Arabidopsis thaliana: one gene and its partners. The protein of the gene in region 2 purifies or fractionates together with the protein of the main gene of each other region. This does not show direct contact. Each region holds a gene or a part of one and is shown on either strand. Other genes may lie near its edges.

Region 1 (7,923 bases), on a different chromosome or scaffold from region 2:
ATCAGGCGCAGTATCCTTTTTTGCAATTGCAGTTTTGGTTTTGTTTCATTTTGCAGATTTAGCTTTGATCAAGATTTGTTTTGGCCTTGACTTGTTAAAGATATATACTTGACGAAGAAAGTCAAAAGGAGGGTTGAAGATGATGGAATCTTCTGTTCTTGCTCCTCCTCGTCTCCTGGTTCTTCTTCAACTGTCTGTGGGAGTAATTGCCATTGTGGGTATGCCTCTGTTTTTATTTCACTTTTCTTGATCTATCTATTTCAGCATTTCATTGATATAAGACCATAATTATCTGCTTGTTTAAGTACATTGAACTGGAAAAAACCTTATCTTTTGTGTTAGGATGCTATTCTCAAGCTGTTCCTCAAGTTGCAAGTGTGGGAGTGAGTGTAACAATAAGCCGTTCCAACAACGACATGTCAAGAAGATGAAGTTAATTCAGGTAATGTGTGATTGGTTTTGGTTGGATAGAGTGGATTTTTGTTGTTGTCGGTTTGTTATTTTAGTTGTGTCTTGTAGACAGAAAAATGCGGATCAGGGATTGTGGCAGAAGAAGAAATCGAAGCTGGAGAGTTTATCATTGAATATGTTGGAGAAGGTGATGTGACTATTTGATATTTTGTCTCCCTACTGAATATACTGCGACCATGGTCTAATTTGTTTTCTTTTTTCGTACCTTTGCTCAATGTAGTTATTGATGATAAGACTTGTGAAGAGAGGCTTTGGAAGATGAAACACCGTGGCGAGACAAACTTTTATTTATGTGAGATAACCAGAGATATGGTTATTGATGCTACTCATAAGGGAAACAAATCAAGATATATTAATCATAGCTGCAACCCTAATACGCAGATGCAGAAATGGTTTGTTGTTAACTGTCAACCCTTAGTGCTTGTTTCCTAGTTTAGAATACTTGAGAGAGAAAAGTCATCATTTGGTTTACTTTTGCTTGCAATTAGGATAATTGACGGCGAGACCAGAATCGGCATTTTCGCCACCCGTGGTATCAAAAAGGGAGAGCATTTGACCTATGATTATCAGTAAGTTTATATCCTCCTTCTCCAGTTTACTTTGTAACATATCTGTTTTTATGTTGAGTTGTGACACTAAGAAATAGAGCAGGTTTGTTCAGTTTGGTGCAGATCAAGACTGCCATTGTGGGGCTGTAGGTTGCAGAAGGAAGCTTGGTGTAAAACCTAGCAAACCTAAGATAGCCTCGGATGAAGCTTTTAATCTAGTGGCACATGAATTGGCCCAGACACTGCCCAAGGTATTTTCAAATTTTATCTGAAAAGAAGAATCAAATATATATCTCGTCTTTGCCCTGGCATAGTTTCACAGTCACTGAAAAATTTGTGTGATGAGGTCTAAGTGACTCTTTTTCTTTCCCCACTTTTGGTTAGGTGCATCAAAATGGACTTGTAAATAGACACATAGATGCAGGTAAGTTTGGATTTTTTCTGCTCAATTTGCGAGAGTAGCTTATTGTGTTTTGGTTGTAAGAAAGTAATTTGGATTCCCATGTTTCTCCAGGAAAATCATGGAACAATCTTAGTCAAAGGGATACATGTTCGCGTAATTGCATTGGTGTGGTGATCAGGTTATCTCGCCCCACGAGTGATAGGTATTTATTGAGTTTTGAACTCGTGGATTAGTTTTATGACTCATTCTATGCTTTTCTCATCCAATGTTTTATCTTTTGAGATTTTCAGGTGTTTTGGCCTCGTTAGACATTTTGATGAGTATTCAAGAAAGCACTCGGTATTACAATTAGCCAATACTTGTTCCTCACCATCGAACTTGGCAAAATCATTCTCAATTAAGACCTCTCTGTTAACATCTTTAAACTTGGTCCAGGTGATGTTCGAGGATGGTGTTACCGAGTTTGTCGACATGTCGAGAGAAGACTGGGAGATTGTCTAATATTGTTTTCAGGTGATTTATACTCTTCACTCTCTTAATGAAACATTAAAACTCCCAGAAGCATAGAGTATTAAATTACCCTGGCTGCTATGTTTCTGCAGATTGCTTTGAAGTTGAGAAACCAAAATAACCTGTCTTGGTAAACTAAAGGTATCCCAAAAAACCCGGGTCTGACTGACTGGGATTGGTGCAGTGACATTGTTTGTTGCGTCTAACTTGTGACCTGTGTTTGTACAACCATTATAAGAGATATCATATATCTACTTGTGTAACCACATCTGTACTTTCTTCTCCTTCCTTCTTTTTTCATGGGGATCTCAAATGATGATGTCTTGCAAGAACCTTCGTGGTGTGTAATTGACTTTGTAAGAACCGGTAATCTCATATCCGGTTTAGCTTTTAAAAATTTGTATCCAAAGACCGGTTTGTTCTTGTTTGCATGTGCTGTTCTTATTCGTGCATCTGTGTGAGTGTGACTGTGTCGGTGTCGCCGACAAAAGCCGGTGTTTGCAAAATCTGACCAGTTTTGTTTTAGCGATTAACGTTTCAAATTCCTTCAAATGCAAAATGAGTTAAACAAGTGAAAAATTACTAAAACAACATAACAGTTTTAAATTGGAAAAAGTTTTGTAAAGTTTAAAGATACACTGTAAGTGAAAAACGGAAAATTTTAATTAGATTTTTTTTTTTTTTTTTTTTTTTTGGTAAAAGTAGATTATTTTTGTTAAACAAAAGTGATGGATCATTGGTTTTTTGGTAGTAGGTGGGTGATGTGGGTGTGTGGTTCTGGTTCACCAACTCAAAAAGCATAGACTGCAGGGGTTGGGGATTGATAACGACAAATCTAATTGTGGTTGGTAAATCTTTTACTAATCACATTCCTTTAAAATAATTATGTAACTCATCTTGTTTACTAATATCAACTCGACTATCTTAATATCAAATAACTCGGATTCTTCATTTTTTTCACTTTAGAATGGTTTGGTAAATCTCTTGAATAATAAACACTTTAATAAAAATGTTTTTTTTTGTCAAGCATAAAAATGTAACTCATGTTGTCTAACTACATGGATTTTCGCACAAAACAATGATTAAATGTAAATTATGTAATTATACTTTATTTAAAGTATGATTTTGTCTTAAAAATGAAAATAATATAAGGAAGTGGACGGGTAAGGTAAAGTCTAAAATTCACCAAACATTTTGGAATCTCTCTGTTTACTATAAAGCAGTGAGTAGAAGAACCTGAAAGAACTCGCCTTTGTCTCTCATTCTTCTTCTCCATTTCGAAAAGAAGATGAAGGTGATAGATAAGATCCAGTCATTAGCCGACGAAGGCAAAACAGCGTTTTCCTTCGAATTCTTCCCACCAAAGACAGAAGATGGAGTCGACAATCTCTTTGAGAGAATGGATCGAATGGTTGCTTATGGTCCAACGTTTTGCGATATCACTTGGGGAGCTGGTGGATCTACCGCAGATCTAACGCTTGATATAGCTTCGAGGATGCAAAACGTTGTTTGTGTTGAGAGTATGATGCATCTTACGTGTACTAACATGCCTGTTGAGAAGATTGATCATGCTCTTGAGACTATTAGATCTAATGGGATTCAGAATGTGCTTGCTCTTAGAGGTGATCCTCCTCATGGTCAAGATAAGTTTGTTCAGGTTGAAGGTGGTTTTGATTGTGCTTTGGATCTTGTTAATCACATTCGTAGCAAGTATGGTGATTACTTTGGTATCACTGTCGCTGGTTATCCTGGTAATGTCTCGAATTCGAATTTGATTTCTTTGTTTCGTGTGATTTGTAGCTAAAGATTGGATTTTTATGTGTTTTGATATTTCAGAGGCGCATCCTGATGTTATTGGTGAGAATGGTCTTGCGTCTAATGAAGCTTATCAGAGTGATCTTGAGTATCTGAAGAAAAAGGTTTGTTTTGTTTGTTTTTGTTTTGCTTTGTTCTTAAATGTCTGCATCAATTTTTGAATTTGGGTTTGTCTTGGAACAGATTGATGCTGGAGCTGATCTGATTGTTACTCAGCTTTTCTATGATACTGATATATTCCTCAAGTTTGTGAATGATTGTCGGCAAATTGGGATTAGTTGTCCCATTGTTCCTGGAATTATGCCTATTAATAACTACAGAGGCTTTTTGCGTATGACTGGTTTCTGCAAGACTAAGGTAAGTTTTGATCGTTTAGTAAACACCAGTTCCTGCAAATGAATCACCTTTTAGGAGATGAATGATATTGCTTGTTGCCTTTCCATAAAGGTGTTTGTTTGCTAGCTTAGGATATGTTTTTAAAAAAGTGTATTTAAGGTTTCGTGATCAGCTAGATGAAATTGAGATACTTGATTATATTATTGTTTTCAGAGAAAGTGTTTGTTGGATAGCTATTCAAAGAGAATTCTTTATATTAATGTAGATACCAGCTGTGCTTTTTGTGAAAAAAAGATAGATGAATTTACATATGATTATATTAATGTAGATACCAGTTGAGGTGATGGCTGCCTTGGAGCCTATCAAGGATAACGAAGAAGCTGTGAAAGCCTATGGTATTCACCTTGGAACAGAGATGTGTAAAAAGATGTTGGCTCATGGAGTCAAGTCTCTTCATCTCTACACATTGAACATGGAGAAATCTGCTCTTGCAATATTGATGGTTGGTCCTCACTTTTTCTACTTGATGTAAAGCATGATACTGATAGTGGAGTAGCTTTACTATTTTGTTGTTGTTTCAGAATCTTGGTATGATTGATGAGTCCAAAATTTCTCGTTCTTTACCCTGGAGACGCCCTGCAAATGTTTTCCGTACTAAGGAAGATGTGCGCCCCATTTTCTGGTAACAGAGCTTAGTTTCTCTCGTTCTGATTATACTTAGCCACATATTTTACTCTGCAGGGAAAATAAGACTTGTTCTTTCTTCTAATCTTTTGAAGGGCAAACCGTCCAAAGAGCTACATTTCTAGAACCAAGGGCTGGGAAGATTTCCCACAAGGCCGGTGGGGTGATTCACGCAGTGCTTCATATGGTGCACTCTCGGATCATCAGGTACTACAATACATCATCTGTAATTGCACAACTCTCTTTCAAGATTTCATAACAAAGGGGTTTTGAAGGGTATTTCTTCGATTGGTCTTTTTGATTTGCTCTAGATTGTTAAATGTAACATCTTCTTGTGAGCTTGTTTGCTGAACTAAATGCTTTTGTTGTCAGTTCTCACGTCCGCGAGCACGTGACAAGAAGCTTCAACAAGAATGGGTTGTCCCACTGAAAAGTGTTGAAGATATTCAGGAGGTAGAACAATTTTTTCACTACCACACATTTCCCTCACTTTCACCTGTAAAGATGCAGACGCTTACAATAATCTTGCAAAAAAACTGTCACATAACAGAAATTCAAGGAGCTCTGCCTTGGAAACCTTAAAAGCAGTCCCTGGTCTGAATTAGATGGACTCCAGCCAGAGACAAGGATAATAAACGAGCAACTGATAAAAGTCAACTCCAAAGGCTTCTTGACCATCAATAGCCAACCATCAGTCAACGCCGAGAGATCTGATTCCCCAACTGTTGGTGAGGAATCAGTCCTGTTATATCTCTGTTCTCATAGCAAACAGAGTTTTGATTCGTGATTGATCGATACTTGTGCTTGTGTATGATTTGCAGGATGGGGAGGTCCTGTTGGATATGTATACCAAAAGGCTTATCTAGAGTTCTTCTGCTCAAAGGAGAAATTAGATGCAGTGGTGGAGAAATGCAAAGCTTTGCCATCGATTACTTACATGGCTGTGAACAAAGGAGAACAGTGGGTATCGAACACTGCCCAAGCTGATGTGAATGCTGTAACTTGGGGAGTTTTCCCGGCTAAGGAAATCATTCAACCAACCATTGTCGATCCCGCTAGCTTCAACGTCTGGAAGGATGAAGCATTTGAGACTTGGTCAAGAAGCTGGGCTAACTTGTACCCAGAAGCCGACCCTTCCAGAAACTTGCTCGAGGAGGTAAGTTCTATATTTTTCTTGATCTGATCATATTTGTTATTGTTTTTGACAATGGTTTATTTAAAATGACTAATGGACATTTTGATCCAAAAATGCAGGTGAAGAACAGCTACTATTTGGTAAGCTTGGTGGAGAACGATTACATCAATGGTGACATATTCGCGGTGTTTGCTGATCTTTGAGAAAATCAAGAGACAACTACAGTATATCGGTTTCCTACTGCTTTCAAGATTTGCTTTTGTACTTTCTCTAAAATATTGGGATTTTGTTTTTTACATCTGTCTACCATAACAGTATTGATGTGCAAGTAATGTTATTGATAAAAAGGCATCAGTTTCACTACCTTAAAGATCCAAAACCAAACAATTCTTCGGCAAATTTTGTTTGTGTTGATAGTTCAGAGGAAAACTACAAAAAGACACGCAAAAAGATAAAAAGGCTTTAAACTTTTGTTTATAATACTTGCAAATGATATCCAGGAAGAGGAATCTTAGGCTACACATTGGTTTAATGATCATAGTTTGTTCACATTGGGGAGCGGGAACAGTGGTTTTAACAAAACTAAAGAATAAGCCCAAGTTCTGATGGCTTCAATGCATTTCTCAAACGGTAATTGTAGAGATAGTAGTGCGACTGTCGACATAGTGGATAAAACCTCAACTCTTTCAAGAAACTCTCATTCTGCATCACATCCGAGGCATAAAACACATCGAAACCTTTTTGCTTAGAGACTATTAGGGCATCATTCACCAGCTGGGATAACGAGGTCAGTGTCGCTACATTGCAGCAAGCATAAGCACATTCCAGGGTCGTGTATTTCCGGTTACCGGGGATAGTTATAGAGGAATTGCAGAAGCTGCAGAAGTCAGTGACATCATGAGTTTCAGGGCTTACTACTACGTAACTGTAGACAATATTTTCCCTTGGGAGAAGCCAGTGCTTGACATCGTTGTCATCAAAGTCAGTCGCAACTGCAAACTGGCTAAGGTAGTTCCTGAGCAACGCTGTAACAGCAGGGACATCACGTCGCTCCATTTCCCTAAATCCAGGAGTGATCGGTGCATCTGGTAACTTGTAGAGTTTGACGGTCCTGCTCATTGTCATTCTGTCACGAAGCCTTGTTAACCCAACATCGATTAGCTTCTTCGGGTTCAACATTCTGACCCAGTCTCGACTGGTGGTAACTGGTCTAGAAAGTATATGACTTGAGGTATAAGCCGCTTGCCATATATTCTGCAACTTAACCCTTCTAGTCAACTCCTTGATCATGAGAGGAGCAAGTCCCTTAGACCTGAGCTTCTTGTGAACACACAAGGAATTGACCTTCGCCATTTTAACAACCTCATCACGCACCCTGATTCTTGTTGGCCTGCCACAGATGAAAGCAATGAGTTTCTTGGAGGTCTTGACGCGGACTCCAATATGCCAGCTCTGGTAATAACCAGGTGGACACAGTGCCCACCTTAGATACTCTTTGGAGTACTCATACTTGATCTGTTGTCATCAGGACTGTTTTCCTTGAGAAAGTTGTACATCTCTAAACACATATCGTCAGAGTTCATATCGCATATGGTCCATTCGAATTGACCAAGAAGGTTGTACGGCTCTTGCTTGACCTCAGACACCAAAGTTGCGGGCTCAATTGGGCCTTCAGGCAAACTCGTGTCCTGGATATCTTTAAACTGCTCAACAGGTTGAGTCTCCCAGAACTTATGGGTCTTTGAATACTGGCACTGCAGTAACCTTCCAACTATGGTTCCACCTGAAGTATCATCCTTGGCTAATTGAATTTGTGAGCTCTTGGCAACAGTAACTAGTGCATCCTCCACTGGCTTCAGTTTTGGATCTGACATTGTTGATCGTCTGCACAAAAAAATTGATTGCTCAATCATGAATACACAGCAAGCAACAGCCATGAAACAAAACTGAAAACGAATAAGAAAGCCGAGCTAGCTTACAGTATGAAGCATTATCAAGATTTTTAACCCTAGACATAGCGA
Region 2 (6,640 bases):
TCTTATCGTTGCAGATCTAGTTCGTATAAGAAGACAGAGACTGGATTCTTCTCTCATCGATCACAAAGAGTTTCTCGATAATACTTTCACAACAGTCTACATACTCTTCATGTAATTCTCTCAACTGTGGTTTTTGTCATGTGCTTCTCCTATGTTTGTATTAGATTGGTTGATATAGTTACCAATGTTAGAAATCTTATGTTAACAAGCTTCTACTTTTGAATACCTGAGCAACTGATTCAGTGGAATCTATTTGACAATCACTCTCCTTAGTGCAGGGTATAAAGTGAAAAAGATACCTTTTACTTGTTTAGTATTGTTACGAACATTTAGATGTGAGAATATGATTTTATTGGTTGTTTTATGGACTATTATGTGGACCATGGTTTATGCTTTGAAGCTATGGCTTGAATTTTGTTAGTTGCGCATGATCTGTACTTACTTAAATCTGTGTATTGTATGGTCTAATATGCTGACTTGAATATGTGCTTGTGTGGTTTATGGTGGTTTATGCTTTGAAGTTATGACTTCTTCGGTTGTTTGTTGTGTAGTATTTGCTTGCTTTGTTACATGGGTTTTTTCTTACCTTAATCTCTGTGTTGAGTAGTTTAGTGCTAACTTGAATACCTTGTTTGTTTGTGTGGTTTATGTATTAATTAAAAAAATATGATATTACTAACTTTGAAATTTATGATGAACTCGAAAAGAGATGGTTATTGATTGTCCTTGGAAGATTATCTTACTTGATTTGTAATGATCGCTTAGTAGTGGTTTGATATGAGATATTTCTTTTGTTATGAGTGTCTGAGAAGTGAGAAAAAATCTTTAGTGCTCAATTACAATTTTCGTTGATCAACAATATTTCTACAGATTACTATAAATTACAATTGTTCATGGATTTACATTTTAACAGGTACTATTTCATTTTTAAATGATCATGCTTTATTTTGCCCAATTCCAGTCTTTCAAGTTTGATTGCTCTGATAATTTCCTAATAGAAATCAGTAGTTTCTGGTTTTGTGTTGTGTTTCTTCGTGTGTGAAGCTAATTTTGTAACCGTGGCTGATACTAGTTCTCTGGTTTCTTGAAAGATTTCAATTTCTTTGTTAGTAATTGTTTCCAGAGAAATTGTTTATTATGAAATACTTGTTGGCAGGTTTTTAACCTTTGGGGTTAAAAAAACTGGTGAAAGACTCCTGTCAATGTTTCCTCCAAAACATGAGCCTTGTGAAAATGATTGGCAAAGATAGTTGTTAAAAGTTGAAAGCCGATAAAGAACCACGCTATAAGCTTGAGTCTAGTAATGCAATCATACAATCATACACTTAGCATTAAGAGCAGTGAAGAAACTAGAACCGTAATAATGAAAACAGAGGATATTTGTTCTTCAAATTAGTTGCTGGCTTAAAGGATTGATCATTTTTAATGTTGTGAAACCTTCATTTATTCTTCTAATAAACTCTGCTATTGGCCAACAGATTTGTGGAAACAGAAAATGGTGAAAACGTGAATCTAAAATTAACACATTTGAGCCAAGATAGAATGTTGAAATATAGTGGTAATAAGACTCCAACTGGCTCTCTTTCATTAAGACTCTTGTTATCAAAAGAAAATATAAGAAAATCCGAAGGTTTCATAAAGACTACAGGCAAAATTCCATAGAAATCACAAGCTCTAATAAGAAACCACTTCACTTGGCAGCAGCGTGCTTGGCCTTGTTGTGAGACTCAAGTGCATTCCCTGAGTTGAAAGTCCTGCCAAAGAGATATAAGCCAACAAGCGAAATGTTATAACAAACAGAAATTTTGAGCAGTGAAGACAAGAGTTAGAGAAAGAGAGAGAGTCTCACTTCTTGCATGAACCACATGAGACTTGACTGGCCGACTTTGGGCTCTGGTTTGCAGCCTTTCCCCCTTTCTTCTTCTCATCTGTGCCAAAGAAGACGATGCAGGTTCAAATGAATACTCGTGTTTCCCAATTTAGTGAATAATGTAAGAGAATGGTTTGTATCTATACCTGTTTTCTGAGGAGTAACTGCTACTTTCGCCTTCTTTGCTGACACAGGTGCTTTAGGGGTAGTTTCATTAGCTCTCTTCTTGCTTGATGCAGGCTTCTTAGGTGTAGGCTCTTCTTCCTCAGAATCCTCACCATCAGAATCATCTTCATCCATCTGCAAGAATCATAACACAAGAATGCGTCACCAACATTTGTTCAAAAAAGATGTCTCATCTCCTCAGTCATTATTCTGAAATGGTAAACAAAAAGAGACAAATCACAGAAAGCTATAACAACTCACTCCGTCAGAATCAGACTCATCCTCTTCATCATCAACAGCTGGCTTCACTTCTGCAGGCTTAGCCTTTGGTTTAGCTACAGCCTTGGCAGCATTCCCTGCAAATGGAACTAGTTATTACCAATTATCAGGATCACAAATCAAGTAGTCTCTGTCTAGTTTAAGTACCAGCAGGAACTTCTTCCTCTTCTTCCTCTTCTTCCTCTGAATATATCAATACAACACATAAACGAATCATCAGCAACCAAGCCAATATTACAGTTACAAACAGAATAATTGAATTGAAACAGATTTTATCTTGCAAACTCACCAGAATAGCCTTGTGGCTCAATGTTGGGAGTTTTGTATCCAACAAAGTAAACACTTCCTTTTCCCCAAGTGTGAGAAAGCTCAAACTCCTTGTCGAATACCAAATCACAGAAAAGCTGAGGGATGTTCTCAGTCGATAGAGTTCCCAGAACCAAGTTCTGGTTCCCAACCTTTACATGTAAAGGCACAAACTCTCCCTTCTTGTTTTTACATTCTCCAAGCGATGCCTACACAGATAAACAATCCAAGATTGTTTACACTAGACCTCTAACAACTCTCAGAATCAAAATCAATAAGATTTGATACTAAACCTGAGAAACGTGGATAAGAATGCCTTCTTCAGGAGTCACTGTAACTGGCTTTCCTGATTTAACTTCAATTCCTGATTACATCGTTTTAACAAAAACCAACATGAGTATCAAGATACAGCTTCAAGTTATACACTACCACACTAATTCCTATATAATATAACCATTTCTATGTGAGAATATTGCAACTTAAAACCCTAGATGAAGCTACACAACTACACCACACAAGGAAGCAGCCACAAGAGAGTTCGAAAACAGATTTTAAGAAAAACCCAAAAAGCTTCAGACAAAACAGAGAAGATTCTTACCCCAGAACTCCATGGCTAAGAATCAAGGTTGAGAAAAAGAGAGGATTTTTAGGGTTTATGAGCAGCTGAAAATGTAAGAGAAGAAGAAAGGGTTTTAAGAGATTATTTATAAGACAGAGGGTTTTAATACGAAGCCGTTTTAGGGTTTTAATACGACGCCGTTAGGGTCTTTACTCTTTAGGGTTTTTCTTCAGTACTAACGACGTCGTTAAAGATATGAAAGTTTGTGAAAAAACAAAATGCTCCGATCAAATTCAAACGGCGGAAATCAGTATAGGCGAAATCTTCCTCCGTCGAAGCTCAGGGGAATGTCTTCAAGCTCTCAAGGCTTCACGATTGATGCAGCCATGGAGCTGCTGATTTCGACAAAATGTGGTTAATACTCTCGAGCGGCGTTTGTTCTATATCCCTTCTTTCAAAATCAACCGTGACGTCGCCGGACTATTTGATTAAGGATTGTGCTGTTAAATCCAATGTTCTTAGCTTCTGGCGTCAAGTAAGTACGGAACATCATTCACCTTTCTCTTTTGAGTAGAAATTGAGACAAATTTGACATGATTCATAGAGAAGAGTAGAGATTGTTTTAGGTTTGTTCTCAGATAGCATTTCATTCTTAAGGAGAATATGTATGAAGTGGATTGTCCATGTGTGACACCAGAGGTTGTTCTCAAGGCATCTGGACATGTAGACCAGTTCACTGATCTAATGGTTAAGAATGAGAAAACTGGAACTTGTTACAGTGCGGACGGACCACTTGCTTAAGGATTATTGCTCCAGACACGAAGAACACTCTAACAAGGCATTTTTGTGAAGGACTTGTATTACTACAATGGGAGGAAATTTCCCTTTGCTGCTGCTCAAATTGGTCAACCTTTAGAAATGAGGTGATTATCGTTTAATTTTCTATTCCTTTGCTTGATAGATTGGATGTGTTTATCTCAATCAGGGACTCTTTTTTCTTTCTTTTATGTCTGGCTTTTAATAAGTGACGCATATTACTTGCAGATATCTCATCGTCAAGGGCTTCTTAGAGTTTGTGAATTCACGCTGGCAGAAATTGAGCATTTTGTTGATCCTGGGAATAAGTCACATCCGAAATTCTCTGATGTAGCAAATTTTGAATTCCTTATGTTTCCAAGAGAGGAACAAATGTCTGGCCAATCTGCGAAAAAACTTTGCCTTGGCGAAGTTGTTGCCAAGGTCAGTATCTGTAATCATCTGCGTCTACTTACTTCTAGTATGCACTCCCTCAGACCTTTTGTTTCTTAATTGCTTATTGATGCCTGCAACTGTATTTGAATAGGGAACTGTGAACAAAGAAACTGTAGGCTACTTCATTGCGAGAGTGTATCTTTTCCTTGTCCGTCTTGGCACAGACAAGGAACAGTTGCGTTTCCGCCAGCATTTTGCAAATGAAATGGCCCGCTATGCTGCAGATTGTTTGGATGCTGAATTTGAGAGTTCATATGGGTGGATTGAATGTGTTGGTATAGCAGATAGGTCTGCATTCGACTTACGTGCCCACTCGGTAAGAAACTTACTTTTATCTTGTATTTTCTTCATTTCGTTTGACAGCTAGAGAATTGATGATCAAAACCCGTAGGTAGGAAAAGTTGCTCTGTGGCTGAGAGAAATTTCCAGAACCTAAAGAAGTAGAGGTAATCAAGTCAACATGTTCATCTCTGTCTCTATAGCTTGTTCTTAATATGGGTTCTCTGTTATTTCAGAAACTTGTGATTACTCCTGTGAAGAAAGAACTGGTTCTTGCATTCAAGGGAAATCAAAAGCATGTCGTTAAATCTTTAGATATAGAGTGACTGAAATCTATTGTTTTACTGACATATTTCTTTGTCTCATGATGTTGGTTTACATTAAACAACATGCTTCGTGTAATGTTTTGTTAGGCGATGAATGAGCAATAAGCTATGGAGATGAAAGCAATCTTGGAAACCAAAGGGGAAGTAGAGTTTTACGTATGTACCCTAAAGAGAAACGTGAGCATCAAGAAGAATATGGTGTCAATCTCTAAACACAAAAGAAACTGTAAAGTAATTCATGATTAGATTAAACTAGAGAAAAGGTTCAAAATCTGTTTTCTAGTATATGCCAAATTTGTTTTCAAACAAATTTCGCAAAAGTAATCTGTTTTCTAAAAAAGTATTCAACCATTCGAATGATCTCAAACCACCTCCAAATAAAACTCTCTCAGTTTTCTAGTATATGCCAAATTTGAGCTCCATCCAGCAATGAAAAATCTCTCATCACATCCCATATACACATACTTATGTCGATAACATCCCCAATTAATGCCCCCCTTTTTTTTTTCTCTAAAAGCAGTTTGGAACTTGAATGAATCGATAGACAACTATGTACACATAAAAGACACCTAAACACTACAAATGGCACACAATTAGAAAAAGAAAAAAAAAAACTAAAAAAACTCAAAACTGATCAAAACTCAAGGCATTAGTACGACTTTTGAGAAATTTTCTACCACGATTTCAAATAAAATACCAATTTTTTCTTATCTCCAATTAACACACATAAAATAAGCAAATATTTATTTTATATTTTTTATCTTCAGTTACGTTAATTATTATACACATAATTTTCGTTTAAATCATACATTATTTCACATGTGAATGACTGATACAATTAGATTTTGTATGTAGTATCAGTGTGAGCAAATTCTACTCAGCTGTTAGATTATTACACACATTGTGGTAAAGATTCCATAGAAGTAAGTGGTGTCTTGTCCTTGTCGTTGCTAAAGCGATTAAGCTTTGGGGTTAGGGTTGGTCTTGGTCTCCTCAAGGCGTACGTGAGTCTCCCAAAATATGTGATTTTATAATCATCATACGTATATATACATCAAATTATGATCCATCATTCTTGATCAAAATGGACAATTTTTATTTTTTTAATAATATAGGTCTATGCAGTCGTCATTCTATGTGACTTTTCAATTGTACACATATACGTGGTTGCAAAGTTAGCAATTCCCAAAAACTTGCATGTGAATAAGTCATTTTTTGTTTGTTGTGCACAAATCCATATACATTAATTATATCAATTATAAGTGTCTGAAACATTTTTGTGTGTGTTATATATAGATAACTTGAAACTCTAATATTTATATTCGTCTTACTGGTTTATAATGTTTGAAAGATAATGGAACAAAACAGCATCGTTATCACAATCATTTTCAAAATTCACTAGAAGATATTGGTGTTTTAAAAATCTAATACATGATTACAACTTATGCAGTGGTTATGGCCATGTTAAATCATCCTGTGCAGGTACATTTCTCGCCTGATATTAAAAAAATAGATTATATATAGAAGCTGAAGTCGTAACTCTACAATTTGTTTCAGTTTTGACTTTTGATAATGGTAATATTAATTATCAATTTTATTTAGCCA
Region 3 (7,723 bases), on a different chromosome or scaffold from region 2:
TATCTAATTTTCGACAATATCCTTTTAGGATTTTCTTTTTCAATAAACATATTTTTAGTGTTTAAATTTTAATCTTTAACGTTCAAAACAAAAATACCATTCCAAAGACGCCAGTTTTTTTTAGAAAAGTATTTTGTCGGCTTTTTTCAAATTTGTCCACAAGTGGATTACATTGGCTTTACTGATTTCTGAAAGTACATATTCTCAAGATATTTATTTTTCAAGATAAAATATCTCACCGTTTAAGATATTTTTTAATATATTTTATTTCTCCACTCGAAAACAAACTTCATAGATTTTTTTTTTTTTATAATCCAAAACAAACTTCATAGATTACAAAAGCTTTTTCATTTGTTTTTTCGATTGGTCTAACTAGGAGATATTATTATTATTATTCACTTGTTTATACCAAAACAAAAAGTTATCACTGGACTCTAATTTATCGGCCCAATATATCGGTCCTTTTATTTGAGTTGGGCTAGTTACAATATATCGGTCCTTATCACGAAGTGCCCATCCAATACCTGCAGGTTGGTTTGGAGATAGCCATGAACCATCAACGAAGCAACAATACGAATTAGCTTGCTTAAGAATTAATTTGAGCTATTCCATTTTCTTTCAGACTTTGCACTTTCTTTGTTGCTTCCTGTTTATGCTTTACGTCTAATCCATCCATATTCACAGCTTCGAACCACAATTTACAGTCAAAGCATGGCTTTACTTATTACCTCCGGTATTGCCCACTTCCTATTATTAAATAAAAGATCATTTCTCATTTTCCATATCCTCCTCCAGCCTATAGAAGGGTTTAACTTTAAATGATAGGATCCCTTTAAATGATTTAAATATTTAATTGTCTTTGGAAAAAAAGAGAGTCAAAATTGCCTCTGCAACAACTAAAAAAAAAACTAAAAAGGGAAACAAATCCTCATCGAATACAGTGAATATGGAAAATGGGGAATCAATATCAAACAATACCATTCTTGGAATAATTCTCGGATTCATTTTTGAAGAAAAAACAAGTAATGGCAAATTTTCCCAAGTTGTGTCCCCCTTTTTATAAGAAAAGAAGACTCAGCAATTGAGGTTTTTAGAGTGAGCAAGAACCTTGTGTAGCAAAAACCTTAAATCCGTCATCTATGGGAAGTATAAACTCTGTGGCTGAAGCTAAAACAGAGGAAGATCCTTCGACAAATCAGGGAGATGGGGACGACGAATCACCTAGAACCCTAATTGAAGATCAGAGAGATGTGGAGGAATCAAAAACCCTAAGTGAAGATCAAGTAGATGTGAAGGAATCCAAAACCCTAATTGAAGATCAAGGAGATGAGGAAGAATCTAAAACCCTAGATGAAGATTTGGATGAAACAGAGGAAGAGAGTGGAGAGTGCCCTTTATGCCAGTTCATAAAGGGAGGTGAGTGTAAAGAAGCATTCACAGAATTGGAGAATTGTTGCGACGAAGCAAAGAAGAACAATGAAGATCACGTAAGTAAATGTAAGGAGGCAAGACTCATCTTTAAGACTTGCATGTATGATAACCCTGTTTACTATGAGCCCCTTCTTGCTGGTGAGGCTAGAGCGATGGCCAAGATGTTGAGCGAGTTGTTGAACGCGGAAAAGGAAGCTATTATGGCTGGTGAGCCTGCAGTCATTGCGAGGGCGTTTAGCGGGTTGCAAGAAGAGAATGCTGAGCCAATTCTGCCTGCTGAAGCTGCAGCGATCGGGAAGGCGTTTCGCGAGTTGGAAGCTGGAAAGAAGAAGGAGAAGGAAGCAGAGGGATCCGAGGGTAATGAGAGTGATCATCAGAATCAGAATTAGGTAAAGCTTTTTTTATGAGCATATTGAGACTTACATTGATCTGAATGAAAATTCAAATTTCGTTACTCTTAATTTTGTTTAGGTGTGTCTTCTTATATACACCATTGGTTATGTAATTTGGATGCATCTATAAAATACTGTCGTAATCACCTTCTTCTACAAAAAACTAAGACCATTTTAATATACATTTTGATTTTTTTTAAGATAAGACTTTGTGCAAGAGTTTTTATCCAATGATAGAATCTTAAGTGAGACTTGAGTAGTACTTATGCTCAACTTTTGAAACAAGAGATAGAAGTAAAAGAAAGAAGCACATTCCTTTGGCACATAAAAGTCATCAGCAGTGGTCTTCAGGATCTTCCGCAATACGCTTCAACATGAATAGCAGCCATACGGTCCATGAAGTGATCAGTGGTAATCACTGCAAGATGATCTTCAACAAAATCTTCAATCTTCTTCCAGTCACGATCAAACCTAAGAAACAGAGAGCAGTAGTATCATCAGCACAATCAGGTCCTGCTAAAATCAATATAATACTTTTAAAAAACCACACAAGTATAAAATTATTACAGTTGAAGTGCTTCAAGAAGCAGATCTATTTAGCTAATCAAAAAAGATCAATTAACTCAAGGAAGCAGATCTTTTTTAGCTTAAGTTACTACTGACCTAACACTATCATAAACTTCCCTCTCGTTCACTTATGTATCTGCCTTGACATATCAGTTTATATCCCTAAAAGCCAGCAATAATATTGAAGGATCTAACACTAAGGAAAACTAAAACATGCATTGCTCGCCAATCCAAACAGAAACTCACCAAATCGTAAGTTTCGATATCATCCAAACCAAACAAATTGAATGCCTGGGGAGAGAGAGTCTTACTGAGGAAAAATGCTTCAATTAGCCCAAATATTAAAGTCCCAATATAAGGAGACTTTTTGTTAAATTTTTAGCCCGATTAAACATAACATTTTTTAATCAGCATGCAATATTTTCATTTAATGTGCTCGGTTCTGTCACGGACACTGACATGTAATTTTTCATTTTCACGGGTGAGATAATTTTCAGACAATATTAGAATTTTTTTCTTCCCTTTGTAGTTATTCGAAATTATGTTATTGTTGGGAAGTAATGAAAAAAAACTCAACAAAATTCGATTTAATACCTATCCATAATATTATTGATCCTAAAAATAGAAAAGGATAATTTTGCTGAGTCAGAAACGTGATATTCGCGACGTTGTTTCCGGATAAAGAGTAAACGTACGACTGCTTTAACTCACCTATAAAATCACGACCGTCGATTTCATTTATGTCAAGGGGCAAAACTGAAAATCACACAAAAACAAACAAAACTTTGCTTACGTCACATCATTATCTGTGACTAATTCTTAATCATCATCATCATCATCACTTACTTAAATCTAAAAAAATCTCTGTTTGTATATATATTATCTTTGCGATTTTTATCCAAATCTTCCAAAGCTTAGTTTTTTTTTTTTTTCAATTTCTCTCTTGCGTTTTCGATTTTATTACAAGAACTTTGTTTTGGGCTTCATCCATCGTTCAAGGTTCGTTGAAAACTATGAAGAAAGTTGAGTTTTTTATGCTCCTTCTCTGCTTCATCGCAGCGTCATCTCTAGTGGTAAGACTTAATAATCAAAAGCTCGAATTTTTAATGTTCTTCCAATCATTGAAATATAATCCGAGATTAAAGTTTTTAAATTTGATCTTGATTGGTGTGTAAAGTCTGCTGATCCACCAACATGTCCTGCTGATTTGGGAGGCAAGTGTAGTGATTCTGATGACTGGCAAGGTGATTTCTTCCCTGAAATCCCCAAGATTAAGTATGAGGTAAACAATGGTGATGTTTCTCTTTAAAACTGTTGGTTTAAGTTGGAAACTTTAGTGGATTTGTTGTTTGCATGTGTAGATGAATTGGTTGTTGATGAATTTTTTCAGGGACCTTCGAGTAAGAACCCACTTGCTTACAGGTGGTATAACGCTGAAGAAGAGATTCTTGGGAAGAAAATGAAGGTACTTTTATTTTCTTGTTTGTATTTTCTTGCAACAATTTTTGAGTTATGTTTTTATGGATTTGAAGAAACGTGTGGGATGTTTGTTTGTTGTCCTGAATTTTTTGAACAGGATTGGTTTAGATTCAGTGTTGCGTTTTGGCATACTTTCCGTGGGACTGGAGGTGATCCATTTGGTGCTGCTACTAAGTATTGGCCTTGGGAAGATGGTACTAACTCTGTGTCTATGGCTAAGAGAAGAAGTAAGTCCAGATTGTGTTTTTATGTTAGTTTCTCTTCGTTATCGAGTTACTGTGATTTGAGTTACTGATTGTTGTTTAATGCAGTGAGAGCTAACTTTGAGTTCTTGAAGAAACTTGGAGTTGATTGGTGGTGTTTTCATGACAGAGACATAGCACCTGATGGCACTACACTTGAGGTAACTCGAGCTTCTGAACTTACACCATTTTGCTTTACATTGAAACTACAATCTGCTTTATTGCCTGGTGTTATAAACCATTTTGGTCCTGATATTTCCTTTGCAGCTTGCTGTTTCTTGTGGTACTTGATAACTTTGTTTTGCTCTTGTTGGCCCAATGTTAACTTGTTTCAGTCATAAAGAAAGCGCCTGTAACCTGTTTATACTTAATCTGCAGGAATCTAACAAAAACTTGGATGAAGTTATCGAACTCGCCAAAGAACTCCAAAAGGTGATTCAGTTTGTTAATTTTCCAGTTCTTATTACACATTGGATTTTGGAAGATACTTCTTGTAGTTAATCAATTCTCCAATACAGACTCATGTATGCCATTTTATAATTGAATCTTTTTATCACTGAAACAGTACTATCTTGTTACCATTCCTTAGTTTGATGTGCTAAGAAAAAAAGGTTCTTCGTTTTCTTCAAATGCAGGGGAGCAAAATCAAACCATTGTGGGGAACAGCTCAGCTTTTCTTGCATCCTCGTTATATGCACGGAGGAGCGACCAGCTCTGAAGTTGGAGTGTATGCTTACGCTGCTGCTCAGGTGAAGAAAGCCATGGAGGTAACACATTACTTAGGTGGTGAAAACTACGTTTTTTGGGGTGGTCGTGAAGGTTATCAGACACTCTTGAACACTGATATGGGAAGAGAGCTTGATCATCTAGCCAGGTTCTTTGAAGCTGCTGTTGCTTACAAGAAGAAGATTGGATTCAAAGGTAAGTCTACTGCTTCTTTTTCTTGTCCTGTATTCAGTCTTATGGGAGTTATTGCACAATAATCTTCTTTTTATCAGGCACGCTTTTAATCGAGCCCAAGCCTCAAGAACCCACCAAGCACCAGTATGACTGGGATGCTGCAACAGCTGCCAATTTCTTGAGGAAATATGGTCTTATTGATGAGTTTAAGCTCAACATTGAGTGTAACCATGCCACGCTCTCTGGTCACACTTGTCATCACGAGCTTGAAACTGCAAGAATTAATGGTTTACTTGGCAACATTGATGCAAACACTGGCGATGCTCAAACTGGTAATTTTTCAATTTCAGCTCTCTTGATTGTTAACACCTCCTAACCAGATTCTGATTGAACAAAGTTCTCTCATTCTCTTAACAGGATGGGATACAGATCAGTTTCTTACAGATGTTGGAGAAGCAACCATGGTTATGATGAGTGTCATCAAAAATGTATGTAATATTAAAGAAACTCGCTATTTTTGGGAATTTCATTGTAAATTTTTGAATGTAAGCTCATAAGAGCTTCTGTTTTTCACATATGAAACAGGGTGGGATTGCTCCAGGCGGCTTCAACTTTGACGCTAAACTGTAAGAGCGATTCTTGATTCACAATGTTTTACTGTTTCATACAAAATTAAACCGAGAAAGAAGCTTATAATGTTTGGTTGATTAAACAGGCGAAGAGAGAGTACAGACGTGGAAGACTTATTCATTGCTCATATTAGTGGAATGGATACAATGGCTCGTGGACTGAGAAATGCAGTCAAAATCTTGGAGGTTAGTTAAGATATGAATAGATAAGTTTTATAAAAGAACCAAAGAGTGTAGCTTTAACTTGGTTTCGGTGTGGTAAAGGAGGGAAGTCTAAGTGAATTGGTACGCAAGCGATATGCAACTTGGGACTCTGAGCTTGGGAAGCAAATAGAAGAAGGAAAAGCTGATTTTGAGTATCTTGAGAAGAAAGCTAAAGAGTTTGGAGAACCAAAGGTTTCTTCTGCTAAACAGGTACAAGTTTCTTGCTATTAATTCTGGTTTTGTTTCGTTAAACACGAAAAACACACAATGATCGATGTCTTTTGAAACGAAATCTGCAGGAACTCGCTGAGATGATTTTCCAATCTGCAATGTAAGAAGAAGAACAAGAAGGCTTTTTATGTTTATTAAAAGTATCGTCTTTTTTAGTTTCCCTCGCATCTTTGAGAAGTTTGAAAACCAAAACATTGGAAAATAAGATGATTAGAGAGGTTGGTTTCATTATTTCAGTTGATGTACTATGGTTTCACACTCTAATTACTTTAAATTGAATAACAAAAAACTGTTTAGGCCTTTACTTTGATTCAGTTACGGTTTTTGTGACAAAGACCAATGAGCAATTCCGATCTATTTCTTCACTCGACTATAGTAAAGTTTGTAGGAGGTTTTATACGAGAAAGTTTAAAACAGCGATATACATATATACAATCAAAATTCTTCTTACCTTATGAAAATTTGAAAAGCAATATATGATTTTCACATTAAGCTTTGAGTTTTGAGTTTGAAAACGTTGATTCTTAAAAATGGTCTAACATCAATAAAAACTTTATCCAATTCATTTCGTTTCGTTAGTTATGATTTCAGAATTTTCTGTTGAGATTTAAAGGAAACTCAAAGTCCTAATTTGACAAATTTCTCGACAAAATCTTTGATAGTATTTGATAAGAAAGGTTTGAAAACTAGGGAAACATAGCCTATCTACTTGATGTATCTATGAAATAGTTGTGATGACTTTGTTAATTTCGTATTTGCGACGACCGTGATGTATTACAATAATTGAGTCTTCTATGATGTTGAACCTAATTACTATCCGTCGATGGTTCTAGAAAATTTCTTTATTTGTTGTTGAATGAATTAATTTTTATATATTTTATTCGAAAAAAGGTCGGCAAAAAGTAGTAAGTCTTTTCTTTTGTCGAATTGTGGCCGAAAGTAGAAAGTCTCGTGAAAGCTCACATTATGAATTTATGATAAATAATGAGGAACTTATTAATAACATTAATATATATCCTATGATTCTTACTCTGTTTTCATTTATGTGACTGTGTTTCAGACTAGCATAACAGTTGATTAACGGTTTCAAAGCAGAAAATTTTGAGCTGGGTTGATATTTACATATATACTAATTAGAAAACGTTTAACAGCTAATTTCATAAAATAAGTAGCATTTCGTTTATAATTGTTTTCAAAAATGTTAATGCGTTAATTTTTTTTTTTTTTGATAAAGAAATGCGTTAATTATTGATAAATGTTTTCAATAATAATATGAAACACAGGGCTATACATTCACTAAAATGTGGTTTGTTTCATAAAATTATTTATTATAAACTTTGATTTCAAAGTTTTCGTAGACATTTCATCAAAAATCATAGATTGTTACGAAAAGAATAATGAAGATGGTTATTACAAATTGTCTTTTTCAGCAACGTTCACATAGTACTCTCACCTAACAGCATACAACTTGATAATCTTTTCATTTTTTGTCATGTGACCAAAATTTTCATACGTTTAATTAACGGCAAAGCTCTCGGCTGTTTGTTTTTTCTCTTTTTTAAAATTTCTCAATACATTTTTCTAGATCCATGTTAACCTTTTAATATTTTTATATATCTTCCCCATCTGCCATTTGATCTTGTAGATT
Region 4 (9,906 bases), on a different chromosome or scaffold from region 2:
ATGCAATTAGCATGTTCTTACTTCCATTGCTACTAACTCCATTTGAAACATATGATTTGATGTTCTCATATACTCTTTGCCACTCGTTCCATGTACTTATCATTGCCAGAAATCCTCCAAGAACTGTTATAGCTAGAGGTAAACCTCCACACCTTACAATTATCTGCTTCCCAATCTCCTCCATTTTCTTAACCAACATTGGCTCTGCATATCAGGTGAATAAGTGTGTCAAGTATGATAGTATATATGCTGCAGAAAGATTAGAGCCTAATGATTACCTATATTTTCTCTTCCAGATAATGAAATTTTCTCCAACAGCTCCCAACTCTCTTCACATGTTAGCTTCAATTGTTGCTCATGAAGCACACCCCTGGGATCAGCATATAAAGCGACCAATGCTGCATATTGAGGTTAGCTTCTCTTTTGTTCTCAAGTTTGTCACCATTGTAAATGAGCAGCTGGAAAAGAAACAACTCTTAAGGGATATGCGGTACGCAGTTGCTGCAACTAGGGAGTTACTTCCGTCGTTGATGAACGACTACTAGTTTTCTGTGTCCAAATACTTTTCTGAATCAGTTCATCCGAGATCTTTTTTCCTTCTGTAAAAATAATAATATTTTTTCTTCTTTTTTTGCAGATTTCTTCTTATATCACAAGTATTCTCTATGGCTAGTCTCTTATTATATGCATCTATTTTGTCTACTGAAGACATAACTTGCAACATTTCTTGGAGTTTTTGGTCTTGATCAAGTATGTTTTTTCTGCCTCTCTGTGATTGAAACTGTGTTCTTTGAAAACTGGACTCAGATTGATTTTAGATGTGAATGACTCTAATCGAATTAGTACTGGTTCTTGTTGATGTATCTGACTTTCATTTTTAACTTTTTATTTCTTACAGGTTCATCCAGTTATCATCTGTAGCTGGATATGTGAAGTGTCTTCTTGCGAACTTATGTCTTAACTTTGAAATACTTTGAATAACGATGATAATTTGGAGTAATGATGGTAATTTGATCAAATTGTGTTTGGCTTTTTGGTGTGTCCATTTGCAGAGATATATTGCTTTTTAATAACGAGAAAAATGTTATTTAATACCCTAATTTTCAAATTATAACCGTTTTATACGTCAACTTTATATATGGTCATTTTAAACATGATGTTATCGTTGACCACCATTTAAACCATGAATATTTCGTTGACCAGGCCAAAAAAAATAGTCGTTAACGGATTATTCAACTCCCGTTAACACCTCCGTTAACCATTCTAAACGATGTCGTTTTCGTTACTATAAATCATGTTTTACCCTTTTATAAGCTTTTAAAATCCCTTGTAAATCATTCCAATGCCACTTACTTATGCTTAAAAAAACATTGTAAACCATGCTAGCCCTTTTTAAAAATCCTTGTAAATCATTTTATGCCACTTACTTATGCTTTAAAAACGATGATAAATCATGTTTTACCTTTTTATAAGCTTTTAAAATCCCTTGTAAATCATTCAATGCCACTTACTTATGCTTTAAAAACGATTGTAAATCATGTTTTACCCTTTTATAAGCTTTTAAAATCCCTTGTAAATCATTCAATGCCACTTACTTATGCTTTAAAAACGATTGTAAATCATGTTTTACCCTTTTATAAGCTTTTAAAATCCCTTGTAAATCATTCAATGCCACTTACTTATGCTTAAAAAACGATTGTAAACCATGCTAACCTTTTTTAAATCCCTTGTAAATCATTTTATGCCACTTACTTATGCTTTAAAACGATTGTAAATCATGTTTTACCCTTTTATAAGTTTTCAAAATCCCTTGTAAATCATTCAATGCCACTTACTTATGCTTAAAAAACGATTGTAAATCTTGTAAAACTATTGTAAAAAGTTTTAAAATGATTTACAAAGGTTTAAAAAGGGGTTTTAAAGTATTTACCTATGTTTTTAAAGACTTTATAAAGATTTTAAGAGGTTTTAAAATGATTTACAAGGGTTTTTAGCAATTACCAAAGATTTTAAAAAACTTTACAAGGTTTTTTAAAAGAGTTTTTAAAAAATTTACAAGGATTTTTAAAAGCATTTTTTTTGCTGGGAAACAAAATTTACGAGAAAAAATTTTGGCGGGAAATTTATTTTTGGCGGGATTTTTTTTTTTTTGGCGGGAAAAAAAGGTTTGGAGGTGTTCTTCAATGAATAGGGGTGCTTGATGAGGCTTGTATTAAATGGTAGAAGTCCATGGAGAAATCGAAGTGTTCAAAATCGGAGGTGTTCTTCAATGGAAGCTTTACTATGGAAATGTTTTGTTTCGTTAAAGATGAAGAAGAAGAACTTTAAGCGTATATAAGTATCTGTGTTTGTATAGAATGACAGAGAAATCTTTGCAGGTAGAGTGGTCAAATGACCTTTGATTTTTCTCAAATGATAGGGGTTCGAATCCCAGGTCTGTCATTTCTTTTTAAAGAAAAACGAAAACGACGTCGTTTAGAATGGTTAATGGAGGTGTTAACGGGAGTTGAATAATCCGTTAACGACTAATTTTTTTGGCCTGGTCAATAAAATATTCATGGTTTAAATGGTGATCAACGATAACTTCATGTTTAAAATGACCATATATAAAGTTAACGTATAAAACTGTCATAATTTGAAAGTTGAGGTATTAAATAACATTTTTCCCTTTTAATAACTGTAACCAATATGTAACAGAAATCCATCCAACCCAATTTGATCAATAGCGTAAAAACTCATTATTGTTATAAAATTTTAGGTAGTTTACATCAAAATAATATCATTCATTTTTTATACTATAAAAATAGTATTTAGATTAATATTTAACAAGAATAAGAATAATTTTTATATATAGATCATATCAATCCACATAATAAAAAGAGAAAAACTCAAATATGAAAAAAATTCAAGTAACAAAAATATATTAGAATTACATTTGGTTGATTGGAAAAAAAAAAATTACGTGTAAAACTATAGTATTATCTGAGAAACGAATACAAAAATTTGCAACAGTAGCAGCAAAACAAATTCAAAACTTGCGGCAACGACAACAGCAACAACAACAACGAAACAAACAATAACATGCGAGGCAGTCTCACGGCTAGTGGCAGCAAACCCAACAGTTTATCTAAACGAGAACCAAAATTTACTCTCGTTTTTTTTTTAATGTTATCCTTTGATGAACAAAATGTATTTTCCAAATTTTACTTTTTTTATTTTTTAAGTATTATCCCTTAAAATAATATATCTTGCGGAAAAGGAATCGGATTAAATAAATTTTAACGGTAGAAAATAGGATAGGAGGAGAGAGAGAAGGTCTTTTATTGGTTTGAATGAGATTAGTGAAGGCAGCTTCTCTTCTGATTTCTTCAACCAAACCTCCGTCTAGGGTTTTTTACTCTTCCCATCTCCGCCGCCCTTTTTTCTCTCACTTCCGTTTTTCTTCCTCTTCGTCGACGTCTTCCTCCGTCGCAGTCATGCCGGGTTCCGAACCATCGGAGACTCAGTGGCCAGCAAAGAGAGTCCGGGATACTTATGTCGATTTCTTCAGAGGCAAAGGCCACAAGTTCTGGCCATCAAGCCCCGTTGTTCCTCATAATGATCCTACTCTTCTCTTCGCTAACGCTGGTACGATAACTTCGATTCCTCATATCTGTTTTTGCCGATAAGATTGGGAATTTGTCCAAGTTGATCTATGGAATTCAGATTCTATAGAGTTGACTTATTCTGTCTTCTTTTGTCTTTGAAGCTTTGGGACTTATTCAAATTTCTCAATTTCAGTTTTGGTCGAAATTTTCTGATATTGATACTGAGCTATGTAAATTAAGTTCTCTTGATATGTCTGGCGAAAAATAGAATTATTAATGACATTGAAACTTCTCTGTTTTTCAAGGAATGAACCAGTATAAGCCAATATTTTTGGGTACGGCCGATCCAAATACTGAGCTTAGCAAGCTATCTCGGGCATGTAACACCCAAAAGTGTATTCGTGCTGGTGGAAAGCATAATGATTTGGATGATGTCGGCAAAGATACGTACCATCACACCTTCTTTGAAATGCTTGGTAACTGGTCCTTTGGAGATTATTTCAAGAAGGAAGCTATCGAATGGGCTTGGGAGCTCTTAACCAAGGTAATTAAATACCTGGGAAATTTGTCTCTGTTTACTTGATTTAAGAAAAATATACATGGTATTATTCAGTAAACTATTGTCTCCCTCCCTTGGGACGGTATGTCTCAATTTTGTTAAGTGATTCTTCTCTTTTCATTTGGTTGTACATTTCAGTTTTGTAAAGTGATTCTTCTCTTTTCATTTGGTTGTACATTTCAGTTAGATACCTTGTGACAGTATTTCATAATTTTGTAAAGTTACTATTCTCTTTTCGTTGAGGTTGTTTATTTCATTGAGGTTGATACCTCCCTGTTTTCATGCCTCAGGTCTATGGGCTACCGACTGATCGAATCTACGCTACATATTTTGGCGGTGATGAGAAAGCTGGCCTTCAACCTGATAATGAGGCTAGGGATATATGGTTGAAGGTTCTTCCATCTGGACGTGTGCTGCCATTTGGTTGCAAAGTATGTATTGATTATTTAAGATAATAACTTTTAATCTGTTACCTAATTTTTTTGAATCCACTACTCATTGATTTCCTCTCTCCTGAGGTTACTTCACAAGTACTTCAGCTAAGTTGCCTTTGTATTGTCACCATTGTTTCTTGTATATATTGACACATCTGTTTGTCAATGCTAACGACAACCAACTGTAAGCTTGAATGCATTTTGGCTAGGAATACGCTATCATGTTTGGTAGTTGGCAGGCTTTAAAAACCATTGTTTATGATTTACAGTCAAAATCTTGTACAAAATGTAAAACTTAAGGGTTTTTAAATGCTGTTTTTCTTTCATTTAACTTTTGATTAAACTGCAGGACAATTTCTGGGAAATGGGCGACACAGGTCCGTGTGGACCTTGTACTGAAATACATTATGATCGCATTGGTAACCGTGATGCTGCATCCTTAGTTAACAATGACGATCCAACATGTTTAGAAATATGGAATCTTGTCTTTATTCAGGTACAAACCCTCTCTGTCCCAATTGTTATTTAGTTCCATTTTACTAATCTTTATCTCAATATCACAATTGTTTTAATGATTTTGTAGATTGTGTTACTGAAAACTCTATATTGTGCAGTTAGCTAGATTGTTATTGCTCCTTTAGCTGTGCTATCATATTCCCAATTGTTTCCTCTGACTGGGATGTTACTTATGTCTTCAAAATAGTTCAACCGAGAAAGTGATGGCTCGCTAAAACCTCTGCCTGCTAAGCATGTTGATACCGGGATGGGCTTCGAGAGGTTGACTTCTGTTCTTCAAAACAAAATGAGCAACTATGATACAGATGTGTTCATGCCTATCTTTGATGACATCCAAAAGGTAATTTGTGAAAACTTCTGTTGATGGTTTCATGACAGCTGTTTAATGATGGTTTCATTGAGTTATTTTTGTTTGGCCTCCTCTTAGGGACGCATTTGTCACCTTAATTAGTACTATCATCATTTTAGTTCATCAATTTTGAAGTGGATCATGGGTTCTATGCTTTACGTCGAGACTCCGTCAATTGTTTTTGAATATTTCTGGTTTATTGAATTTGGATTTCATGATAAAGGCATTCTACTATGGGTATCCTGGAGATTATTCGTTGTTAGCTGTGTCACTTTTCATGTATTTTTCTTAGTGAGAGGATTGAAAAAATCTTCAAATTGCTCTGTTTACCCTAGTTGTTGCGAATCTTAAGTTTAGGTGTTGATGCTTTCACTTTTTTAGGCAACGGGAGCTAGGCCATATTCTGGAAAAGTTGGTCCGGAAGATGTTGACAGAGTTGACATGGCATATAGAGTGGTTGCTGATCATATTAGAACCCTATCATTTGCAATTGCGGATGGCTCTCGTCCTGGTATATACTTGGTTTCTTGTCTCAATCACAATTGTGGTGGTTACAGAAAATACAATCGTCTTAGTATTCAATCATTTATTTGAGTTCATACTTATATGTTCTCAGAAAAAGTGTTTTTGGTTCATTTATTCTAAGTTGGGCATGATGAGTTTGTCAATTTTCTTCCTCAGACAATCTGTTATGTTATACAAATAGAGGTTTGTTATTTCTTGTAGTCTAACAAGTACCAATTAATATACTATCTCTTGCAGGTAATGAGGGCCGTGAGTATGTTCTGCGGCGTATTCTTCGTCGAGCGGTTCGCTATGGAAAGGAGATCCTAAAAGCTGAAGAAGGATTTTTCAACGGGTAGGAAATTATGTTTGATTTTCGTTGCATGTTTTGTTTGAATATTGTTTCAAATATTGTTTCGTTGTAGCTGGAACGTTTATTTCTGTCTTGTATCTTTATAAATGAGCATATTTTTTTGACACATGTTTTATCTCGGGCTTTCATATTACCTGTAGGCTTGTAAGTTCTGTCATTCGGGTGATGGGCGATGTCTTTACAGAGTTGAAGGAACATGAGAAAAAGATCACAGATATAATTAAAGAAGAGGAAGCAAGCTTTTGCAAGACCTTGGCAAAGGTAAGGGCTGGATTTAATTTCCGTCAAAGCTTTGAACCTCTTATCTTATTTTGTTTTGGGTTCTTCTGGCTCGTCGCACTGAAGTAAAAGAGACAGTTCACAGCTTCAATCAGTGGCATGTGATATTTCTGTATAGATTGTTTCCAATTTCATCATTGTTCAGTTTTAATGATGGTTAGACATAATTATAGTATTTTCTATAGGGAATCTTTTTTCTGAAAGATGAATTGGCTTTACCTGGTCGTTCCTCCCTTTTTTATGTGAATAGGTGGTGAGTATAAGAACAGTTAGACTGATTATAAATTTTCACGGCAGGGAATTGAGAAATTTCGGAAAGCTGGACAGGCGGTTCAGGGGAATACACTGAGTGGAGATGTACGTATCGAATCATTTTTGTGATGTATGTTAGGCGTTGCAGTATTTTCATCTGGGATGTTTGAATTCTATCTCAACATGTTGTCTTCTCTTTGCAGGATGCTTTTATCTTATGGGATACATATGGTTTCCCGTTAGATTTAACTCAGGTACGTAAGTCATTTATACTTATTTCTGAATGTTCGTGTTATTTTCTAACTTTTATTCTCGGGGTTCAGTTGATGGCTGAAGAAAGAGGGTTACTGGTTGATGTTGATGGTTTCAACAAAGCCATGGAAGAGGCGAGGGAAAGATCGAGAAGTGCCCAGAATAAGGTGTTTCAACTTTCCTCTTGTTTACTTTCTTAAAGAGCGTTTAATGCCAAACTTACGTGTGACTATGAACGAAGTTTGCAATCACATCATCTATTAACCAATCTTTTAATGTCATTTTTTTATAGCAAGCTGGTGGTGCCATTGTTATGGATGCTGATGCTACATCAACATTGCACAAGGCTGGTGTTTCAGCAACAGATGATTCTTTTAAATACATTTGGTTCCAGGTTTGTCCTTTTATTCCAGAAAACTTGCATGTTGCACCTGAAATGTTCTTATGTTGGCGTAGAAATGAAGAAGTTAGGGCATATAATAGTAAATGGATTTTGCTTTAAAGAAACCTTTATTGGTACTCTGCCACATATCGCTGCAGGACCACGAGAGTGAACTAAAGGCAATCTATACTGGCTCTACTTTCCTAGAAAGTTCAGCTGCTAGTGATAACGTGGGACTAGTATTGGGGTCTACAAGCTTCTATGCTGAGCAGGGTGGTCAGGTAATCCATTTTATTTGATATGTATTTTAGTTTGCTAATTGTTTTTCATTTCTGATCATATGACTGGTGGCATGAAATTGCAGTCTTCAGTATGTTCATCTTGGATTTGTATATATATACAAATGTAGACATGGCAGTAACACCATGAACACAATCATATCAGAACTGCATTGTTTGAATTTATGTATCGGCTGGCAAATACCATGATATAGTTATTGTTGGTTTTGCATACTAATTTCTGAAGTTGTCGTTGACAGTCACATAAATATTTTTAGATTTCATATCCATGAACAAGGTTAAGCTTTTGATTCACTTCCAATCATCTATATGTATATAAACTCTGTGCCTCTAACATTTTTTCTCTGGCAATAGATTTTTGACACTGGACTTATAGAAGGCTCGTTTGGGACATTCAATGTATGCAATGTACAAATATTTGGGGGCTTTGTTCTTCACATTGGTTATCTCTCTAAAGAAACTGGAGAGGTATCTGTGGGTGATAAAGTGATTTGCAAGGTAACTCTCTGCATCAAACAGTGTTTGTCTCATTCACCATATTTGGTACTATCCAATTTGTTTCCACCTTCGTTTTCATGCGTATAGGTTGACTATGAGAGGCGTAAACTCATCGCTCCTAATCATACTTGCACACATATGTTGAATTATGCCCTGAAGGTATCCCTTTTCTATAATTTAAGTAACCTAAACTGTGATTTTCTAATTTTTTCTATTGGATCTGAAAATATTCATGTCCCATGAATTCAGGAAGTGCTCGGGGATCATATTGATCAGAAGGGATCAATTGTTCTTCCTGAAAAACTGCGATTTGATTTTTCTCATGGTACATTTTTGAATAAAGTCATTTTTATTTTGATGTGGATGGTCATCTTAATTGTCTGATGGGTTCCATAATTTCGAGTAGGCAAGCCGGTTGATCCTGAAGATTTGAGAAGGATCGAATCCATAGTGAATAAACAGATCAAGGATGAATTAGATGTGTTTTCCAAGGAAGCTGTGCTTTCTGAAGCCAAGCGCATCAAAGGTCTAAGAGCAGTGTTTGGAGAAGTAAGCTGTCCATCAGTTCTGTAGCTATACCTTTTTAGTTTGGTTTCTAAGAATTGTTAAAGCGTTCTCTCTTACTCTTTTTAGGTCTACCCCGATCCCGTCAGAGTGGTGTCAATTGGGAGGAAGGTTGAGGATCTCTTGGCTGATCCTGAAAACAATGAATGGTCATTGCTTTCTTCCGAGTTTTGTGGAGGTCTGTTTCCATTGGCATTAGCTATTGGGACCAAGATATTACGTTCTGAATAGAATGTTGAGTATAGGGTTATTTTGACAATTCCAGGAACCCACATAACAAACACCCGCGAAGCCAAAGCATTTGCTCTTCTATCGGAGGAGGGAATTGCTAAAGGTATTCGTAGGGTAACTGCTGTGACTACTGAATGTGCTTTTGATGCATTGAATGCGGCGTCCTTACTTGAAAGAGAAGTAGAGGATGCCTCCAGAGCGGAGGGAAGTGCATTGGAAAAGGTTTTCTCCCTCTCTTTGTCAAACTATTGACAAAATGAAGACGATGTCGTTACTTGGATTCACGTAAAACTTATTGTGTTTGTATTTGCACATTCACAGAAAGTTTCTGCTTTGAAAAGCCGAGTAGATGCAGCAATTATCCCAGCAGCTAAAAAGGCAGATATTAGGACTAAGATTGCTTCGCTTCAGGTTATAAGCTCTTTCAGCCTTACAGTCAGCAGCTTTGTCTAGATTTCCCTGTAATTTTGTAATCAAAGCAATTCTGAAGTGGCAATTATTGTTTTCCTAACTTCGCAGAATGAAGTAAGAAAAGCTCAGAAGAAAATAGCGGAACAAAACCTGAAAAAATCTGTCAAATTAGCAACAGAGGCAGCTGAGTCCGCAGCATCAGATGGGAAGACTTTCTGCATAATCCAGCTGGATGTGGGTCTTGATGCAGCAGCTGTGCGAGAGGCCGTTTCAAAAGTCATGGAAAAGAAGGTAATCCGTATTTTCTTACATCATCACTTGTACCATAACCTGTTCATAGATAGCAAGAAAGTTAAATTAACGTTTCCGTTTGATTAACCTTGCAGGGTATGTCGATAATGGTGTTCAGCACAGAT

What was found.
Region 1: the proteins of AT3G44740 (region 2) and MTHFR2 fractionate together in Arabidopsis thaliana (co-fractionation; one large-scale study listed by BioGRID). This does not show direct contact.
Region 3: the proteins of AT3G44740 (region 2) and AT5G57655 fractionate together in Arabidopsis thaliana (co-fractionation; one large-scale study listed by BioGRID). This does not show direct contact.
Region 4: the proteins of AT3G44740 (region 2) and ALATS fractionate together in Arabidopsis thaliana (co-fractionation; one large-scale study listed by BioGRID). This does not show direct contact.

Annotation. Positions count from the first base shown.
Region 1 is NC_003071.7:18,259,081-18,267,003, forward strand, and holds MTHFR2 (methylenetetrahydrofolate reductase 2), read left to right. Parts: upstream 1-3,108; 5' UTR 3,109-3,220; coding exon 3,221-3,683; intron 3,684-3,768; coding exon 3,769-3,851; intron 3,852-3,930; coding exon 3,931-4,104; intron 4,105-4,411; coding exon 4,412-4,585; intron 4,586-4,664; coding exon 4,665-4,765; intron 4,766-4,862; coding exon 4,863-4,974; intron 4,975-5,139; coding exon 5,140-5,220; intron 5,221-5,317; coding exon 5,318-5,495; intron 5,496-5,588; coding exon 5,589-5,923; intron 5,924-6,021; coding exon 6,022-6,105; 3' UTR 6,106-6,266; downstream 6,267-7,923. Other genes in the region: histone-lysine N-methyltransferase ASHH3, read left to right, coding at 1-10, 101-218, 343-442, 520-598, 692-863, 960-1,040, 1,123-1,270, 1,404-1,443 and 3 more.
Region 2 is NC_003074.8:16,294,636-16,301,275, reverse strand, and holds AT3G44740 (Class II aaRS and biotin synthetases superfamily protein), read left to right. Parts: upstream 1-3,305; 5' UTR 3,306-3,588; coding exon 3,589-3,714; exon of another isoform or gene 3,715-3,842; coding exon of another isoform or gene 3,843-3,878; intron 3,879-3,958; coding exon 3,959-4,102; intron 4,103-4,223; coding exon 4,224-4,418; intron 4,419-4,521; coding exon 4,522-4,746; intron 4,747-4,821; coding exon 4,822-4,866; 3' UTR 4,867-4,876; exon of another isoform or gene 4,877-4,945; 3' UTR 4,946-5,403; downstream 5,404-6,640. Other genes in the region: AT3G44753 (uncharacterized protein), read left to right, coding at 15-111, 1,157-1,250; HDA3 (histone deacetylase 3), read right to left, coding at 1,691-1,754, 1,850-1,928, 2,017-2,170, 2,297-2,391, 2,462-2,497, 2,604-2,829, 2,914-2,984, 3,219-3,231.
Region 3 is NC_003076.8:23,343,627-23,351,349, forward strand, and holds AT5G57655 (xylose isomerase family protein), read left to right. Parts: upstream 1-3,048; 5' UTR 3,049-3,403; coding exon 3,404-3,463; intron 3,464-3,567; coding exon 3,568-3,672; intron 3,673-3,780; coding exon 3,781-3,855; intron 3,856-3,966; coding exon 3,967-4,096; intron 4,097-4,180; coding exon 4,181-4,272; intron 4,273-4,489; coding exon 4,490-4,543; intron 4,544-4,746; coding exon 4,747-5,032; coding exon of another isoform or gene 5,033-5,094; exon of another isoform or gene 5,095-5,109; coding exon 5,110-5,343; intron 5,344-5,428; coding exon 5,429-5,499; intron 5,500-5,596; coding exon 5,597-5,637; intron 5,638-5,726; coding exon 5,727-5,826; intron 5,827-5,904; coding exon 5,905-6,054; intron 6,055-6,143; coding exon 6,144-6,179; 3' UTR 6,180-6,439; downstream 6,440-7,723. Other genes in the region: AT5G57640 (GCK domain-containing protein), read left to right, coding at 1,140-1,820; AT5G57650 (eukaryotic translation initiation factor-like protein), read right to left, coding at 2,171-2,294, 2,637-2,659.
Region 4 is NC_003070.9:18,591,738-18,601,643, reverse strand, and holds the start of ALATS (Alanyl-tRNA synthetase), read left to right. Parts: upstream 1-3,164; 5' UTR 3,165-3,332; coding exon 3,333-3,627; intron 3,628-3,892; coding exon 3,893-4,131; intron 4,132-4,436; coding exon 4,437-4,577; intron 4,578-4,929; coding exon 4,930-5,076; intron 5,077-5,283; coding exon 5,284-5,436; intron 5,437-5,826; coding exon 5,827-5,956; intron 5,957-6,207; coding exon 6,208-6,304; intron 6,305-6,462; coding exon 6,463-6,583; intron 6,584-6,898; coding exon 6,899-6,958; intron 6,959-7,056; coding exon 7,057-7,107; intron 7,108-7,176; coding exon 7,177-7,272; intron 7,273-7,397; coding exon 7,398-7,499; intron 7,500-7,645; coding exon 7,646-7,768; intron 7,769-8,140; coding exon 8,141-8,284; intron 8,285-8,371; coding exon 8,372-8,443; intron 8,444-8,533; coding exon 8,534-8,609; intron 8,610-8,690; coding exon 8,691-8,833; intron 8,834-8,917; coding exon 8,918-9,026; intron 9,027-9,113; coding exon 9,114-9,301; intron 9,302-9,400; and 5 more.